Linked DNA regions of Arabidopsis thaliana. The protein of the gene in region 1 purifies or fractionates together with the protein of each later gene. This does not show direct contact. Each region holds a gene or a part of one and is shown on either strand. Other genes may lie near its edges.

Evidence for each region.
Region 2: the proteins of HEME2 (region 1) and GLYR2 fractionate together in Arabidopsis thaliana (co-fractionation; one large-scale study listed by BioGRID). This does not show direct contact.

Annotation. Positions count from the first base shown.
Region 1 is NC_003071.7:16,910,623-16,916,159, forward strand, and holds HEME2 (Uroporphyrinogen decarboxylase), read left to right. Parts: upstream 1-2,182; 5' UTR 2,183-2,338; coding exon 2,339-2,456; intron 2,457-2,910; coding exon 2,911-3,035; intron 3,036-3,136; coding exon 3,137-3,247; intron 3,248-3,342; coding exon 3,343-3,531; intron 3,532-3,638; coding exon 3,639-3,764; intron 3,765-3,850; coding exon 3,851-4,366; 3' UTR 4,367-4,580; downstream 4,581-5,537. Other genes in the region: AT2G40480 (WEB family protein (DUF827)), read left to right, coding at 1-72, 536-1,822. UniProt on the Arabidopsis thaliana protein: Catalyzes the decarboxylation of four acetate groups of uroporphyrinogen-III to yield coproporphyrinogen-III.
Region 2 is NC_003070.9:6,068,540-6,074,412, reverse strand, and holds GLYR2 (glyoxylate reductase 2), read left to right. Parts: upstream 1-2,283; 5' UTR 2,284-2,448; coding exon 2,449-2,632; intron 2,633-2,727; exon of another isoform or gene 2,728-2,824; coding exon of another isoform or gene 2,825-2,831; coding exon 2,832-2,913; intron 2,914-3,030; coding exon 3,031-3,096; intron 3,097-3,209; coding exon 3,210-3,285; intron 3,286-3,372; coding exon 3,373-3,428; intron 3,429-3,615; coding exon 3,616-3,700; intron 3,701-3,793; coding exon 3,794-3,854; intron 3,855-4,016; coding exon 4,017-4,069; intron 4,070-4,157; coding exon 4,158-4,228; intron 4,229-4,310; coding exon 4,311-4,383; intron 4,384-4,459; coding exon 4,460-4,564; intron 4,565-4,654; coding exon 4,655-4,819; 3' UTR 4,820-4,989; downstream 4,990-5,873. Other genes in the region: AT1G17665 (CA-responsive protein), read left to right, coding at 1-540, 891-943, 1,145-1,232, 1,312-1,410, 1,651-1,778, 1,945-1,981; AT1G17640 (RNA-binding (RRM/RBD/RNP motifs) family protein), read left to right, coding at 5,315-5,511, 5,643-5,683. UniProt on the Arabidopsis thaliana protein: Catalyzes the NADPH-dependent reduction of glyoxylate to glycolate as well as succinic semialdehyde (SSA) to gamma-hydroxybutyrate in vitro.

The sequences.
Region 1 (5,537 bases):
TCGGTTCAGGAGGCGGTGACTCGATTCGGTGGTCGTGGTTATTGGGTTCCTTTCAAGCTTGATGACACTTTCGTAAGTTTTGTTCTTTCTCAGTTTTTTCTTCAATGTCAGATCAGTGTAATATACAAACACATTAATATGCATTGCATACTAACATTTGATGCTTTGATGGTGACCATTTTCCATTGTTCTTTACAGTCGAATCTCATGACTTCTGTGGAAGTATGTAAAATTGAGTTCATGACCTTTGTGCAATTCAGTAGCATTACAATATTGAGATTGAATATAACTCGAGTCTAGAATTTCATAATCGAGGTTTTAGCAACATATATGTAAGTTGTTGAAAGCATCAAGATCGTTTAAGCTGTTGTTCTGTCTCTGAGATCATCATCACCATTAAGTGTTGATCGTCGAGTGTAAAATGCACACACTGATTTTGTAACAATGAATCTCGGAGTATCTGTGTCACTGTGTGAGGTTGGATTAGGAGTTGAGATATGATTTTCATTTTCTTTTGGTTTTTGTCAACGTTCAGAATGGTGAATTTGACATTAAGAGAATGGAGGAGCATGCAGCGGAGCTTGAGAAGGATCTGATTGTGAAAGAGCTTGAAACTTTGGATGTTTTAGAAGCTCTTGGATCAACCAAAAGGATCGTTGAAGATTTGAAGCGGCAGCTTCAGCAAGAAGCACTGAGATGCTCTGACCAACTCAGTTCAGATATCAAAGAGATGAACGATGAGCATTGCCATCACAATCCCATGTCATCTCCTGATTTGATCTTGATGGAATTGAAGCAAGCTAAGATGAATCTTGGTAAAACCATGGACAACCTTGTAGTGATCCAGTCCTCTGTTGAATCTCTGAATAAGAAAATGAAAGAAGAGAAAGACTTCCTTGAGAAGACACGGGCTAAGCTAACGTATGGGTTTGGTGGACCGGTATCTCTAGCTGAGGAGTTGAGTCGGATTAAGGTAAAACCACAGGTTCAAGATGAACCGTTAAGGGAGCAGGTTAAGATGGTTGCTGAAGCCGATGAAACGGGTTTAAACCTGCAGAACAAGAACAGTCTGAGAACTGCAGAGATGAGATTGGTTGCTGCTAGGAAAATGGAAGAAGCTGCGAAAGCAGCGGAAGCACTTGCGATTGCTGAAATTACAATGTTATCATCCAATGGTGAAAGCCAGGACGATGATTCGGAATTTTGCTTTCCAGAGCCTCCAAGATCTCCTGTGACACCAAGAGGACTCAGGATTGATAATGACTTCTCCACGGATAAGAGTTCAAGACGAGGGATTTTGAAGAAGCTTGAGGAAGCTACTGAAGGAGTTAAACAAAGTAAGCAGGCTTTAGAAGCTGCGTTAAACCGAGTAGAGATCGCTAATGTGAAGCAACTTGCAGCTGAAAATGCTTTCCGCGGGTGGACAAAAGACTCATTGAAAGGCGATAACTTTACACCTTTGAATCATACCCGACGCTCCTTTTTCAGCCATTTGAACAAGCATCACGAGCCACTTGACATTCTCCCAAAGCCAGTGTTAAAGTCTAATATCTCAATGCGTGATGTTCTAAGGCGTAAGCAAGTTCCAAAGGAAGATGTTGTTGCTCCCCAAAGACAGAGCCTTGAAGGGCAAATACCGAGGCGAAATGTGAATTTGAGCCAAATGTTGAAGGAACTAAAGCAGGATGTGAAGTTTTCGGCACGGGGAGAGAAAGAGGAGGTACATGAAGAGAAACAGTACGTCACGCAGAGGAGAAAGTTTGGGTTCATACACATTACACTTCCACTGCAGAAGCAGAGCAAGAAAAAATCCAGCCTTTAAAAACAAACACCTCCCACTATTTCTATTTTTAGTCCTTATTAATGTGTTTGTAATTGGTTTTCATTTTGGTTTGATATGGTGTTGATTGCTTTTCCGGTCTTTTATATTTGTTGATTTTCCAAAAAATAAATATACAATCTTAGTCTTTAAATAAAACATAATGCTTTGAATCTAATGAGTAAACAACAAATTTGATAGTGATTGTAAAACAACAATGAAAACTGCAGAAATGTGATTACTGGATAAAAGCTGTATCTTAGCAATGAAACCGAACCAAATTGAACCAAGATGATTAGAATAAACCAAACAATGACGTGGCAGAGATAGTAGCTGACTAGGCAACGTTGAATCCACGTCAGCAGATCTCTTATCATCAAAGTTTTTTCTATCTTCTTCGTTCGAAGACGTTAACCCCATCTCGTTGAAAGAGAGAAGATGCTAAGATCTCAAAACAGAGTATAACAACACCTTGACCTCGTTGAAGAAGCCTTTGAGATTGTCTCGGGGATCTGAAAAATGTCAATCCTTCAAGTCTCTACTTCGTCTCTTTCTTCTTCTACTCTTCTCTCCATATCTCCCAGAAAATCTCTCTCATCTACCAAGTCATGCCGGATAGTTCGATGTTCCGTCGAGGGTACTTATTTCTAACTCTCAATTTTGATTCATTTTGATGAAGTTTTTGGTGAGTTAATATCTGGGTAGTTATAAAGTTGTGAATTTTCCACAAAGTTTCTCTCTTTTTGGCAAATAGGAAACGAATTGGGTGTTTCGTGTAGTACTTGAATTGATTGTTTTGGTTAATCTGTTATGGATTTAATAGATGGGTACAATGGTAATATGAAGAAACTTTCAGTTTCTCTTGTACCAATAATCTCTCTGGTAGAAATTTAGGATTTTTCGAGTTTGTTCTGCAGAAGCTATATGATCTTCTCGTGCTTCTTCGAAGTAACGTATATTGCTTAATTCTAGAATTGGAACGTTTCTATGGGGTTTCATTTGTTTTCCCTGAATTGAGTTTGATCATGGAATGTGCAAAAGCTTACGAGTCTTAATCTTTATGCTTAATGGGATTCAAATTCTTTGTTTAGGAACTACTGTAACCGAGAGAAAAGTCTCGGCAACCAGCGAGCCACTTCTTCTGAGAGCTGTTAAAGGTGAAGTTGTTGATAGACCTCCGGTTTGGCTTATGAGGCAAGCTGGGAGGTACATGAAGGCAAGCTTGCTTCCATTTATTTTGTTTACTAACTCACATTTTGCTTGTTCCTATTTCTTTCGAATTCGTGTGACCTGAGTGTTTATTAATGTGATGAACAGAGTTATCAAACTCTCTGTGAGAAGTATCCTTCTTTCAGAGATAGATCAGAGAATGCAGATCTTGTGGTGGAAATTTCTTTGCAGCCATGGAAGGTGTTTAAGCCAGATGGGGTGAGTTCTTTCTTCTCTATGTCCATTTAGTTTTGGAGTTTTTCTTTTTATGATCTCTTAAGTTGACATGTCTGTGTTTCAAAATGTATGAAAAGGTGATTCTGTTCTCAGACATTCTCACTCCATTGTCTGGAATGAACATACCTTTCGACATTGTTAAAGGAAAAGGTCCTATCATCTTTAACCCGCCTCAATCAGCTGCCGACGTTGCTCAAGTTAGAGAATTCGTACCAGAGGAATCTGTTCCTTATGTTGGAGAAGCACTCAGAAGATTAAGAAATGAGGTACTAAAGATAGTGTGATGATCGAAGCAACAAATGCTCTTAATCTCTTTATCCAAAAAACAAAAAATAACAAATGCTCTTAAGCTGAAGAATATGTTTTATTTCAGGTGAACAATGAAGCCGCTGTTCTGGGATTTGTTGGAGCTCCATTTACACTTTCTTCGTATGTAATCGAAGGTGGCTCATCTAAGAACTTCACACAGATAAAAAGATTAGCTTTTTCTCAACCCAAGGTGGATTAGTAAAAGCTTAAAGCAATTGTACAACTTGACAATTTGGTTAATATCTCAGAGATTGAACAGATTTTCTTTCTTCTCAGGTTCTACATGCCTTACTCCAGAAGTTCACAACCTCGATGATAACGTACATACGCTATCAAGCAGATAGCGGAGCTCAAGCTGTGCAAATATTCGACTCTTGGGCAACCGAGCTTAGCCCGGTGGATTTTGAGGAGTTTAGCTTACCTTATCTCAAACAGATTGTGGAAGCTGTGAAACAAACTCACCCAAACCTACCTCTCATACTTTATGCTAGTGGATCAGGAGGTTTGCTAGAGAGACTGGCTCGGACCGGTGTGGATGTTGTGAGCTTGGACTGGACTGTGGACATGGCTGAAGGAAGAGACCGGCTAGGAAGAGACATAGCAGTTCAAGGAAACGTTGATCCGGGAGTTCTATTTGGATCGAAAGAATTTATCACAAGCCGGATTCATGATACTGTGAAGAAAGCTGGGAGAGATAAACACATTCTCAACTTGGGGCATGGTATTAAAGTTGGAACCCCTGAAGAGAATGTAGCACACTTCTTTGAGGTTGCTCAAGAAATTAGATATTAAGAGAAAGAATGAATGTGATGATTATTATGCTTTGTTGTTAATTTCGGCCTTCCATCTTTTTTTCTTTTTCCATTTGAGATGTGTAATTTTATTTTTATATTTTAACTGTAATTTTTTTTTGTAGACTACTTGGAAGAAAGTAATGATTAACGTGCAATGGATATTCATATATGTAGGCTCTTGATCTCTACTTATTTCAATTTCTTAGACATTATTTAGAAATTTGGTGATCAGAATTGTAACGCATTGGAACAAACAATTGACTCTAAAAGCAAAGGAGGTGCTACAAAAAGCCTAAGATTCCATCAGCGGCCAACAATACGACCAAATAATCCACAAACCATCACACATACTAAGCATTTGCTATTTGTGTATTATGTTAGAGAGTGCCGTGTGATTGTTCGTTGCATATTTGTATTATGTTAGACTGCCTTGTGATTGTCCGTTACATTAAGATTTTGTAATAAAGAAAATTTTTGCACCTAAATGTTACTTTATTACACCAAAAGATTTTTGCATGAACATGCAGCAGATAACATTCTTACATTTTGTAACAAGAAAATACAGTAAAGGATATTTGTGCATATAACGGGGCAGTGTCAAGAACTGATTTGAAGACTAAATTCTATTTGAAATATTGTTATTTGAGAGCATTTTAAGTAATGGAGGTGCTATCAGATGAGCGACAGAAAAAAGGAAATAAGAACTTGTATTTGCTTAGTTGACCTATATTTCTTTTGTTTAGATGTAAATTTATATTTCACATGACTTTACACTTTTACAGAGAAGGAATACAACAAAAACTGACTTTAGACTTCAGATAGCATGCATGCTTGCGCAAGAACTAAAAAACTAAGCAAGACTGCTCTTATAGGTAAGGTACTTAACAAAAGCATGTATTCTGTTTGGAGACTACTTGGAAGAGAATATTCTCATATAGCTCTAGTTTTCCTCAATATCGTCTCAAATTTTTAGAGCTCCTTTACAAAATTGGTGATCAAATGGAAAAACCATAAGAGGATATATTCAACTATTTATTATTTTGTCTGTAGTATTTATCTAAATAATTTATATCAATATTAAGCATTGGATAATCTTAAACATTTATTTAGATATAGTTTGAACTTGTAAACTTACACGATTTTTAAAGTTCGTAATTGAAAAAGGAGTA
Region 2 (5,873 bases), on another chromosome or scaffold:
CTACTAACTCTCGCCCTCTTCTCATTCGTCTCCGCCATCTTCTTTCTCCTCAAAGCTTCCCGCAGCAGAGCTGCTTTGTACAGCCAGAAACTCTTATCCGAATCCGAAACCAAACTCCAACCAGAATCGTCTCTATCGGAGATTTCCGACGAAGCCCAGTACCAAACCCATGAAAATGAACCGACCCATTTGACGAATTCGCGACTCTATGAGTTACTGCTCTCCGATAAGAAGGAGGATGATTCGGATTGGGAAGGAGATCATGTGAAAAAGAAGAAGAAGAAGAAGAAGAATCGAGGTAAGAAGAAGAAATCAGACATAAGAGGAGATGAATCCGGCGGCGAAAAGCAGCTCGGTGAGGGAGAAGATGGGCTTGTTTTGAATCCGAGGACAGACTCGATTTCGATATCGGAAAACAAACCGGAGTTTGTTTGTTTATATCCTTTTACATCGACGAGCAGTGCTACGCAGAGGAAGATTAAGCAGCAATACGATCAGCTTGTTAAATGCAATAATGCCAAAGGATTGACACTAGCTCAGGTCACCTTCTTTACCTTCGGTTATTAACTATTTATGGAAATCAAAATTGGAAAACGTGAATTTGAAACATAAATCCAAGTCTATTAAGCCTGTGATTTCCTTAATTAGCATCCTAAAACCTCTATGTGGTTTATATACCTTTGTGGTGTTTGTTCAATAGCCTATACTAAACTCAGTTGATAAACTAAATGATTTTTGAGTTGGGAGGTTTCAATACTTAATCATCAGCTAAGCTTGCTTCCTTTTGATATATCAGAATGATTTACTTCAATCTAAACTTTGGATTACTATAAAATTCTGCCCAGTTGAGTTTTAGATTCTGATGTTTTCTGGGTTCTTCACTTCTGTAGGTTGGGGAGTTTGCTAATTGTTTGATAGAAGCCAAAAATGAACTACAACACAAGTAAGTTAACACTACCATAACATAATATCATATACTCTCATCCATTTTCTTAGTTCTTCCTACATTTTGAGGACACAGGAATTACAAATAGTTGCTTCCTGTTCTATGCTTTGTTATGTTGATGGTGTGACATGTTGCTTTACTGAGTTAGCCTTTTCTTCTCCGGTGACACTGATTTAAGCCTGATTGTGTCTACTGTAGGTCAGAAGTAATCAAGCGCAAGTTTTCAATAACAAAAGCCCTTCTCTTTAAGGCTGATAGATCTTCCTTTGACCGACTTCGTCAACAGGTGAATTTAGCTTCATCAATTGATTGTCTGATTTTTATCCGTTTGTTGCTTTTGAAGTTAATTGTTTGTGTGTCATCAGATCTATAAGCTGGAGATGGAACAAAAAAGAGTAGAAGAAGATGCACTTGTATATAATTGGCTCCAGCAACAGCTTAAACTCTCACCTGCATACAAAAAGGTTAAAAACCAAACTCAATCACTTGTTTCCAAAGATTGTGTCCTATGTGTCCAAAACCTCAAAAATCTGTTCAATGATGTTTCTGATTCTAGATTAATCTTACTGATTGTTGTTGCTGTCTGATAAACCAGTAGAGTCTTATCTCCTGTATTGGACTCTGTTAGCATAATTGGGACTTCCCTTGAGATTTTTGGTTATCTCTAGTTAAAGCCGTTAATACTCTTTATGATACTACTATAGGTTCTTGAAATAAGCGCTTCCATGGAACTCAAAGACAAATCGAGCACAGAGTTAGACAATCCAGATGATGAATTTTCAGACATTTCCTTCGAAGAGCTATTGGAACAGGAAAAGAAAGACTCGTTTTGGTCAGCATTTCTCTCCATCTCTCCTCAAGCTTATTAGTAAATCTAAATTACTTGCTCATATGAATCTTGCTCCATGTATAGGCCTTTTTGAGTATTTCCGCAATCTTTCTTCATATTGCTTATCCTCTATAACCATCTTACTCTCCACTCTTGTGTTGGTTTTCAGGCATAAAAATGGAAGATTGCGAACTTGCAGAACATGATTTGGTGATTGAAACTGCCGTGAGCTCAGCAGGAAAACTGAATCCTTTTTTGATGTTCTCCTATTTTTGGTGCTGTGTATAGAGAGTTTCCTCCATAGGGATGCGTTTTCTATATAACACATTACCCGGTTTTCAAATCGATTTTTTCAGTTCGGTTTGAATCAAACTGATTCGGTTTATCTGAATTGAGCAAAGTCCAAACGTGCATGAGTATCGTACATAGTGAGGCTTTTTTCGAGAAAAAACACTGTTGATAAAAATATACAAACACAAGCATCATGACTCATGGGGGATAAATGCACTTGAACCGACCGGTACAATTATATCTGCTTGTGAATTAGCTTTAAACCGAAGCATATGCAACGCGGCCAGTGGATTTTGTTCCTCAGTAAAAATCTGTCAGTTTCCGCCTCGAAATGTGAGAATTTCGGCCACAGTCTACTAAACAAACGCACTGGCCAGTGGCTATGCCTTTGGTTTCATTATCTTTTGCTTCATCTTCTTCAAAAGCCATGGCTTTGTGCTCTATCTGTCCTCGCATCCCTCTTCGATTCAGGCCAAAACCCATTTCCCCTTTTCTCTCAAAACCTCAAATTTGTCTCGCTTACAGGGTTTACTCTTCCCTGCAATCTACTACTCCCTCTACCAGAGGTAATTTCTTGCTTTGTATTATGCATACACTGGTTTTCCAGAACTATGAATTACGTTTAAATGGATTAAATTATGAAGTGTCGCTCTCTTTTTAGGACAAAACCCACAAGTTTCGAGAAAGATGATCGAATACTATAATCTCCTTATCTTTATCCTTTTTGGGGTAGTCTTATCTGAGGAATTGTGGTTCGTATGGCAGATGAACTTGGAACTGTTAGCATTGGGTTTCTGGGTATGGGAATCATGGGTTCTCCAATGGCACAGAACCTCATCAAAGCTGGGTAAAAAAGTTTTGATTTTTATGTGTAGACAATCTAATTCACATCAATTTTGCTACTTTACCTCTTTTTGATGTATTGATGATACTTACGTTGATCTTTCTGGGGCTTGGTTGTTAGGTGTGATGTGACTGTATGGAATCGAACTAAGAGCAAATGTGATCCTCTCGTTGGATTAGGAGCAAAGTAAGAGTTCCAATGCTTCTTATAAAGAATGATATTATTTACTCCGAGTGAGGTTTTAGAGCTAACGTAGAAGAAAAATTTAACGATTAAGAAAGTATCTCCCTTTGTTGCAGGTACAAGTCTTCTCCTGAAGAAGTGACTGCAACTTGTGATCTCACATTTGCAATGCTTGCTGATCCTGAAAGTGCAGTGCGTATGTCTCACTTTTGTTTGCGTCTCTTTTTCTTCTACTTTCACTCCATATTAAAACAAAAACTGTATTTTGCTTTCTGTCAGATTGATGTTGCATGTGGAAAGAATGGAGCCATATTTGGGATTAGTTCAGGAAAAGGGTACTTACTCCTTCATGAGACTTATGCTGGATATAACGTTCTATTGCTGAAATGTTTCAAGATATCTGTATTTCTTATGTAACTACAGAAGAGTTCACAGTCGTTCTTTTTTAATTTCTTCTTCGAATCTATATAGTAATGTGGTCGATACTTTCTGGTAAAAATGGGACTTGCCTTGCTACTGCAGGTATGTTGATGTCTCAACCGTTGATGTGGCCTCATCAATACTAATCAGCAAGCAAATAAAGGATACCGGAGCCTTGTTCTTGGAGGTAAAGGCTCTTAGTTAATCTATATCTAGAATCACTAAAAAACCTTGTAACAGATCTGGTGGCTTAAGTCATTTCTATTTTTGATATTCATAGGCACCAGTTTCAGGTTCCAAAAAGCCTGCCGAAGATGGGCAGTTAATATTTCTCACTGCAGGTTCGTAACAGCTTACTCCTCATTGAGCTTGTATTAATAATCGATCATCACTTTTGCATATCAGATTATTTTGTCTTCGCGGGTGACTTGCCTGTATTTTCTAACATGGTTGAATCATGAATGAAATGGAGATTTATGACTATCTGGCACTTGACATTTTAGGTGACAAGCCGCTATACGAAAAAGCTGCTCCTTTCTTAGACATCATGGGAAAGGTATCTCTTTTGCCTGTGTTTTGCTTTTAGTTCTTTTTTCTTCTGCAAATGAACCATTTTCGTTACTAGTTTGCATTATATGATCCAGTCAAAATTCTATTTGGGTGAAGTTGGTAATGGAGCAGCAATGAAACTTGTCGTCAACATGATCATGGGAAGGTATCATTTGACCATCTATCGCTTCATTTCTTGGCAAATTCCAGATTCTTCTTCTGATCTCTTTTTCTCTTTACCTATGCAGTATGATGGCATCATTCGCGGAGGGAATACTTCTAAGCCAGAAAGTTGGACTCGATCCAAATGTACTTGTCGAGGTAACTAAAACACCATTGTCCAGCAGAAAGTTTCTTACCAAATGTGCTATAAACCCCGGGAAATTTTTTTCTGCAGGTTGTCTCACAGGGAGCTATCAATGCGCCAATGTACTCACTAAAGGGTCCTTCAATGATCAAGTCAGTGTACCCGACGGCTTTTCCATTAAAGCATCAGCAGAAGGTTTGTGTAATTGTGTTACTTTCTTTTTTTAGATTCTCACAAAGACTCTGGAGTTTGATGAGACTGTAATTGACTTTTATCCGTCTATAGGATATGAGACTCGCACTTGGACTAGCGGAATCCGTATCGCAATCTACTCCGATTGCAGCCGCTGCGAACGAGCTTTACAAGGTTGCAAAATCTTATGGGTTGAGCGATGAAGATTTCTCTGCAGTAATTGAAGCACTAAAAGCTGCAAAATCCCGAGAAGCTTAGCTAAAGATTTGTTCAATGTGAAAATGTGTTTTTTTTTGCTGTTGTATGAAAAATTTCATCTTTACAACATGTCAATTGATAATTGTTAATTTTATATGAGAGCAAGTTAAAAGTGTCAAACACAAGTCAACCTTTGATCTCCTGATGTTGACAAAAGCAACAAAGAAAAGTGTTTGACCAACGTTGACTACAATAAATACGGCGCCGTTTCGGATATTCCGATGATAAGTTGATAACACCGAATCATTTGTTTCAAAAAATTCTTCAGTGCCTGAAGTGTTAAAATTCTCGCCTGAGCTCGTTGCCGTTTCCACTTCAACCATATTGGTTAGGGTTCTTTCTCTTCCAAGATAAGAAATTTTGAATGTTTGATGTCATAACTTTGAATCAAGTAATCGAAATTGGAGAAAAAAAATTCATTTTTTAAGTTTGGGTTTTCATCATAGACAGACGGAGAAATTAAAAGGTTTTGTTTTGACTCAGCTGCAGTGATCGATGGATTATAACTCAGATCGTGGTTATGATGACTCTTACCATCATCACGTACACGACGAACAATTACCACAATCGGATTTTGAAGTGGAGACCTTTGATGACCGGAGGAACGGTGGTGCAGCCGTTGATACTGGTGGGATTCAGATGAAGCATTCCGTTGACCATCGCCATTCTTCTTCGTCCATGTCTTCTCCTGGGTTCGTGGTTTCTTAGGCTTTATCTTTTTGTATGGATTTACTTTTGATATTAATCTCTTCTCAGCGGAGCTGGTTATTAAGATATTGATGGGGAGGTTTCTTGTGGTGCCTTTTGTCTTTGTTTATGTTAGGAAACTGTTCGTAGGTGGAGTTTCTTGGGAAACAACTGCAGGTATGGTTCATTTTCATCGTCTTAGTCATGTATGCCATTTATGTCTTGAATTGAGCTCGTTGTTGCTGCATCAGTTATCTTGCATCTAGTTTTGTAATTCCCTTGTCTTACTGTAATTGACAATAGAGGAGTCAAGTCACTGTGATTCTGTTATTGGTTATATTTGTTCTTATGTGTGTTGATTCCATTG